Rattus norvegicus: one gene and its partner. The protein of the gene in region 2 interacts with the protein of the main gene of each other region in a biochemical or structural test. Links are inferred from orthologs where the notes say so. Each region holds a gene or a part of one and is shown on either strand. Other genes may lie near its edges.

The links. The genes of interacting proteins can lie anywhere in the genome.
Region 1: the proteins of Dlg1 (region 2) and Iqsec2 interact in a test that uses a peptide from one of them, tested with the Homo sapiens proteins (2 studies listed by IntAct, with this or other methods). The link is inferred for Rattus norvegicus from reciprocal best matches to the Homo sapiens genes DLG1 and IQSEC2.

Annotation. Positions count from the first base shown.
Region 1 is NC_086039.1:24,814,116-24,817,085, reverse strand, and holds the end of Iqsec2 (IQ motif and SEC7 domain-containing protein 2), read right to left. Parts: intron 2,826-2,970; coding exon 1,860-2,825; 3' UTR 520-1,859; downstream 1-519. UniProt on the Homo sapiens protein: Is a guanine nucleotide exchange factor for the ARF GTP-binding proteins.
Region 2 is NC_086029.1:82,604,865-82,609,232, reverse strand, and holds the start of Dlg1 (disks large homolog 1), read left to right. Parts: upstream 1-1,435; 5' UTR 1,436-1,854; intron 1,855-2,308; 5' UTR 2,309-2,341; coding exon 2,342-2,360; intron 2,361-3,041; coding exon 3,042-3,173; intron 3,174-4,368. UniProt on the Homo sapiens protein: Essential multidomain scaffolding protein required for normal development. Recruits channels, receptors and signaling molecules to discrete plasma membrane domains in polarized cells.

The sequences.
Region 1 (2,970 bases), on a different chromosome or scaffold from region 2:
TCTACAAAGATGATGAGAGAATTGACTTGCTGAATACCTGCTTCACCCTAGCTGCTTGGCGTTCATTACTACACAGTCATCACGATTCCATGCAACTGTTTAGACAGCCTGGCAGAATTGAAGATATTCTTTTTCTAAGGGAGTGTATTTTTAATTATGTATATGTGTGTATCCATACATGAATGTGTGCAAGCTTCATGGAGAAAGCATAACAACACATGGCCATCCCAAGTGGTAAACTGAAGTAACAAACAGTTGGAGGATGATCCCCTGAAACTCTTGTGCCTAAGTAAAACCTACAGGATGTGAACTGGATCAACCCCAGAGCCCACACTCCTGCCACCATCATACAGGAAACATATGAAACAGGAAAACCCTCACCATCATCTACCCTCCTACCTAACCAAAGCATCTTGCCCACACAGTTGCCTGAATTACCGTTAGAACCTCCCCGGACTAGGATCTCTCCATGGGCTCCATGGCAGTGAAGGGATCATAAGTAGGAGGCAGAGGCCAGAGGTGAGCACAAGGTCTTTTATGAGGCATCAAATATACATTCTTATATACAAGGAGGGAAAAAGACAATGTCTGAACCCCAGCTCCTCTCCATAAGTCCCTCCCACCAACACCCTCCCACAACCCCAAGCCCCAGGGACCCTTTGACATAGAGGGTCCATCTGTCTGTCTGTATTGCAGCCCATACTGGACAGGGGAGAGAAAGGCAGGGACTGTGAAAGGAGCTGAATGTAGGGCAAGAAGAGGAGCTGGGACTTGTAAAAAATATATTTATAATAAATAAACAGGGTGCAGAAGGGCTGGCGAGGCAGTGGAGATTTTGATGAACAAGAGGGGCTTGGGCATTCTGGCTCGCAGCCCCTGCTCTGATGGCTTCAATCTCTGCCTCAGGAAGGACATCTTGGGCTCAGGGTGGTCCTCTGGGAGTCTTTCCCCAGGGCTGATGCTGGGTGCCCTGCCCCAGTGAGATATGTGTGGGTGGTATCTGTAAAGTGCATTGTCTTCAGTTGAAGGTGGGAAAAGAAGGAAGGGGGGGCATGCAATATGGGTGAGGGAGGGCAGTACCCTTCTCATCCCAGACCTGAGCCCCCCCCTCCCCCGCCTCCAAAGTAAAAACCTGTCTGGACTTTGATCAGGATAAGAACATTGCAGGGCAAGGCAAGTTCCTGAAGCCAAAGAGGTCTGGGCTGGGGCCTATTAGGAGAGAGGGCACAGACTGGCTCAAGAGAGGAAGCACTGCCCTCATTGGGGGCCAGCACAAGCGGGGTTCCACCCACGGAGTGCACTGACTGACGGTCTATGTGTCCTCCAGCAGGCAGAAAGACACATGGAGGTGTGTGGCTAGGCCCTGAGGTCAGAGGGCTGAGCCAGCTGAGGTTTGGCCACAGCTCTACAGAGCTCTCTCCTAGCCCCACACAGCCAGAGGAGCTCTGGGGAAAGCCTTCACCTCTGCAGCTCCAGAAGCCTGCCTTCTCCATCAGCTTGCAAGGAAGCTCACATTTGTCCAGAGGTCTGAGGTCACCAACTAGACCTCCAGGGACAAGAAAGAGGAGAGGAAGACAGGAACGGGAGGACGAGGGCTGCTGAGAGGCCCTTACCGCTTCCCAGCACTGCAGTGCCCTATGCTCAGGCTGCGAGTGGCAAGGGCCCTCCAATCTGAAAGGAGACCCCATGGCAACTGCTGGGGGTTGGAAGAAGGGTCTGGAGATATGGAGGAAGTGGGAAGAAGGACACTGCTGAGTGTATATATATTTTGAAAAAAACGAGGAAGAAGTGAGGGGCAAGGTCCCTCTCCTGTGGATTTCCCCAGACTATCCTGTTCCCCAGTACACTCATCCCATTCCTCAGACCACAGTGCTGATCCGGCTTGGCTTGGCCTTGGGGTTTGCACTGGGTGGATTAGCCGTGCCAGGGGGCCCAGAGGCGTGCAGTGGGCCATGGGGGGAGGTGGGTGGTAGGGGTGAATGTGGAGTGTGAGGTGAGGGTGGGGGCAGGGGCGGGTAGGAGGGGTGAGGTGGGATGGGTGAGTGTGGGGACAGTGGTGATTGGGGGTGGTGAGGGTGGGAGTAGGATCCCCCTGGTGGCCGGGACCCAGGGCCCCCAGCTGCACCTGCTGCTGGCATCATCTGTGGGTGGTGACTGAAGATGAAGTGCTTGGGGCCCTGTTTATGGGCAGGAGGGTGCTGTGGAGCAGGACTGTACAGGGGTAACGGGGATGTGGGCTGGTGCAAGGGGTGGCGGCCATGTGGAGCAAACTGAGGGTGTCCTCCAGCCCCTCGTCTTGGGGCTCTGCCTGGCCGGCCCAAGGTATAATGCTGGGGTCCTGGAACTGGGCCATGGGCATGGAAGTGTCGATGTGGCCCCACAGGTGGGGCTGAGGCAGGTGGTGGTGGAATGGAGCCCAGCTGGGGCAGGGGTGGAGGCTGCTGAGGGGGTGGAGGCAGAGGGGGTTGCTGGGGTGGGAGGTAGGGTGGTGGGGCAGGGCCCGGTCCTTGGCAATACTGGGCATGCAGGGCCTGGAGCTTGGACTGCCCATCAGGTAGCACCCCCAGGCCACCATGGCTGTGACCATGGTGGTGGTGGTGATGGTGGTGGTGGGTGGAGGAAGCAGATGAAGACGAGGCAGAGGCCTGGCCTGTTGGCGGTGGTGGCATCTGGAAGGGCCCTTTGCCTCTCTTGCTTCCAAATAGGGAGCCCAGGAAAGATGAGGAGTTGGAGACTGGCCTCTGGCTCTTGTACTCCTCTGGCGGCGGGGGTGGGGGCGGAGGTGGCATCCTCTGGTGAGGGCGTGGACTGCTAATAACAGACCCCTGAAAGGGGGGAGGGGGGGAAGTCAGGCCAGTCTAAATATCCTAAACCCCCAACCCGAAATTCCACCCCTGTCCCTGAAGCTGTAGCAACAGGGATTCCAAAGTACAGTGGAAACCAAACAGCAGTCCTGTGTTTGTGGCCAGC
Region 2 (4,368 bases):
CGACCATGTGGATCCCAGGAATGGAATTCAGGGCATCCAGCTCGGAGGCAAGAACCAAGTGAACCATCTCCAAGCTGGATCCAAGCGGATCCAGCCTTAAGGTTTGACACATATGGGTCTCTGCCTTTCTGGTTCTGCCTCAGTAACTTCTGACGACTTTGGAAAAATTTTCCTGGGCTATGGAGCAGAGAAGTTCCTATTGCTTAAAAGCCGCTCAGTGAGCTGGGCAGTGACTCGGAGAACTGTCCCCTTCCTCAAGCTGCAGCCTCAACTCTAGAGCAAGGGTCCCTTGGGACTGTTTGCTCTGCTTTGAGGAGCTTGAAATTTAAACTAGCTGTGAGGGCTGGCAGTAGTTCAGTCTCTGAGGTAGCTACAGGTGAGAGGCTTTTTTTGTTTGTCTTTTACCTAAGACAGGGTTTCTTCTCTGTCTAGCCCTGGCTGTCCTGGAACTCACTGTAACCCAGGTTGGCCTGGAACTCAAAAAGATTAGGTTGCCTTAGCATCCTGGGATTAAAGTCCTGTGCTACCACCACCAGGTAGACAGGTGAGTTTCTTAAAGGGTCCTCCATAAGATGGGTAACTCTTGGGAGCATCACTGGGCAGGGACACATTCATGAACGCACAGATGAATGCAGGCATAAATGAATGAAAAATTTCATCATTAAACGGCTCATATTAGGAGTTAACCACTTACACCTAAAAGTCCCCTGAAACCCTCAAACGTTTACCAAACTAATCAGTCTCCGTTTTACATCCGGTCCTTAATGAAACTCCTCAAACCTTTTTGGACAAACGAATACTTTAAAAACCAGTCAAAAGTGGAAGACCCAGATTACCCCTTCCCCTCCGAAGTCCCTTCTTTCTCCGCCCCTTAACGTGGGTGACCGGCGCAGCCTGCACAAACTCCTTTTTCCCTGTTGGGGATCCACCCCGGGCGTGCCAGGTACTCTTCCAGCCTTGAAGTTGGCCAGCACGTGTTCAGTGAGGTTAAGGGGTGTCTGGAGCTTGTTTCTTGGATCTGGCGCAGGTGAGGTCACTTCTCTGTTTCAGTCTCCATCATCTCGAGTCCAGCGCGCTAGTTCAGAACTGCAGGCCACCCTGGGCTAGGGCGACGGGCAGGCTAGCTGTCCCAAAAACACTTCGGACCACCTGTAGAGCGCGTGCCAACTCCTTTGTCCTTAGAGCCACTTCGACTGGAGCGCCTCTCAGCAAGGCGCTTCCCTCTGGATGCTGAAGGGTCCCTCCTTCCACTACTCCAACCCCCTCCCAGCCCTCCTCCCTTTGCCAACCCCTAGGTAGCAGCGCCCGGAGCCCCGGGCTCCGAGCGAGCCGCCTCCTCACTTCTCATTGGCTGAGGGCGTCGGGAAAGCAGTCACGTGGGCGCGCGGCAGGCCAGCTCCAGGGCCGCCATCTTGGCGGAAAGTTTAGGGGGAGAGCGACTGGGGGCGCGGAAGGAGGCGAGGTTCCGGGGGTGGGGCGGCCCGGAGGCGAGCGGGCGAGCGGGGCCGCGAGCGGCGGCGAGAGGGCAGGCGGCGGCGGCCGAGGCGGAGAGAGCGGCGCGGGGGTGCGGCCGCCGAGAGGAGCTCCTCCCCCGTCCCCTCACCCCCTCAGCTGAGCTCGAGTCGGGGCGGGGCGGGGTACGTGGAGCGGGGCCGGGCGGGGAGCTGCTCCGAGTCTGGCCGGAGCGCACCCGGGGCGCCCGCGTTCGCCGCTCGCGGGAACTTTGCGGCGGAGCCGCAGGTGTGGAGGCCGCGGAGGGGTGCATGAGCGGCGCGAGGGCGGCGCACAGAGCGGCGGCTGTCCGGTCCGGCCCCTGCTGGAGTCGCCGCCGGGAGGAGGCGAGCGAGGAGCCAGGCAAGCGAGAGGAGGGGGCCGGAGCGGGCCGGGGGAGCAACCCGGCGCTTGGCTGGGCGCTGCGCGGCTGGACACGGGCCGGCGGGCGGCAGCAGGTGGGGAGCGTGGCAAGCACGCCGCGGCGGCGGCCCGGCTGCTCCTCTTCAGGTGCTCTTTGCGGAGGGGGAAGCTCTGGAGGAACATTCCGAAGCGGGCTTGGGTCCGATCTTAATCTGTAGGGGGCATAGCGACCCCCGAGAACCGGCTTTCTGCCTTGGCTGACACTGCTGGGGGGGTTGAGGCTCCTGCTTTTCACTTGGGAAAACTTTGAAAGGTGGGCAGTTCCTCCAAGGTTGGAGTTTTTCCTAGTTGAGAGTTTGGGACGGGGGTGGGGGGTTTGGGGGGGAACGAATGGATCCACGGTTCAGTTCTTTGCCTTAGTTCAAGTTTTTCTTCCTGTTTTGTGTTTGTAAAGGTGTGTGTGCCTTCTTCCTGCTTCTGGGAAAAAATGCCGGTCCGGAAGCAAGGTGAGAATTTATTTTGGAACTGTTTTGTGGCTGTCACTGGCTGTAACATACATCAGTGTTGTGGTTACTGTTTTTAAAAGGATTGTGTGACTTTGATGAATCAGCAGGCTCTCGCCTTTATTCCTTACGGTATCTAAGCTCCACATCATTTCAGAGGGTGGAAACACCTAGTTCGCTGCACACACCTTCTCCACATCTGTAGTGATTACTGAAGCAATCAATCAGCCCCCTGCCATGTCTTTTTAAAAACTTCGTTGCTTCAGTATTTCACTTTTCATTCATAGCACCACTATTTTGTGAACAACTGAGAGTAGCTAAGAACCGATGTTTAAAAACTTAAAATTTGGTTATAGGACCAAGTTGGAGATAACTTGTTCTTGTCTATTAGGCATTCTAAAACCAAGTTGTTACCAGTTTAATTAGATGGTCTTTAAGTATTGGAGGCTGTCAGTCCACAGCCACTACTTTCTCCTTCCTCTAGTGTGATATAAAGCCTTTAAAGTATTTTCGTCTTAGCAGGGAATGGAATATGGTTGTAGCGCTGACCCCACTTGACTTGGAGGCTCTGGGGAACTCTTTAGATGTCTTGTAGACGTAGCATGTAGCACTTTCTTGTAAGTATGCATGCAGACACAGACCCTAAATATATACATGAAATTTTCACCGTACTTGTCTTTTCAGATACCCAGAGAGCATTGCATCTGTTGGAAGAATATCGGTCGAAACTAAGCCAAACCGAAGACAGACAGCTCAGGAGTTCCATAGAGCGGGTTATTAGCATATTTCAGAGCAACCTCTTTCAGGCTTTAATAGGTGAGAATTAAAACTGTTTTACTTGTGACCACTGTACTAATGCATGGTGCTTCTCTGTCATGTGAAACTTAGAATGACAATGTGCTTGGCTCTCCGGGGACGGCCATTAACTTGGAACATCTCTACTGTGCTTATGTTTTGCAGTAGGCCACTGTTGCTTCTAAAGGTATTTAATTACCAGAAAAAACTTACTGGTATGGTTATTTCTGTGCCCTCTGAGAATACCGTTTCAAGTTTTAGAGTTACCTATTGAAAGATGGACAAGTTGTAGAAATGTTTTAGGAACATCAATGGTTCCTGAACTATTGTTGGTGTTTCTGTAGTTGACTTGTATTTCTCTGGAATCCTTGAAGATATTTGAAGGGTTCTGCTGTGTTCGAGAGCAGTCATCTCTTTGATATACACCTCTGTTAAATTTGACATTCCTATAGTATGAGTTTTAGACCTGGAGAATGATCTCAGAGGTGATGTCTAATAATTATCTTATTCTACAGATAGCATTGTAACAGTCTTATTCTTACCTACCTGTATCTTAAATATGAGATAGTTCGTTGTTTTAAAGAGTTGGACAAGTAGTCCAAAGTCCTGACTAGTTCCTGACACGGTTAGTGATTAAATATCAGAGAGCCCATTCATCCAGTTTAGGCTGGTTAGTAACTGTAGACTGTGGGCGAGTAAGTGAAGAGTGGGCTTTTAAGACTTTTAAAGACAGCAGGTTCTTTTAAAAATGAAATTTCTGTTTTTCTCACCTGACTACTGAACCAGGTGGTTTATTGCCTCCAGGTTCAATAGTAAGATTAAAAAAAATTAAGTAAGGACTGTCTAACACGTTCAAATAAGACCTATGCTTTCTCTCATTATGTCCATTTTCTCAGTAACTTCCCAGCGGATAGGCCTCACACACGTGTGTGCTGATAGATTGATTACTGGTGTGATTTGAACACTGTTGTCAATGTGTGCCTTGTCAGATAACTTATTGCTCTATTGATGCTCTTTAGCCTTGTACAGGCTTGGTAGACCTTATAACTTTTTAGAGTTTAGTGTTACTACAGACTTAAAGACATGCATTAAGGGTGGGGAGAGGGTGAACTGCCAGTGTCACCCACCCATCCTCAGAGATTATCAGCATTTTCACAATGTGAGAGGACACATTTGCACTTGTTTTCCAGGCCATGACCTTTAAGGTCCCAATAGG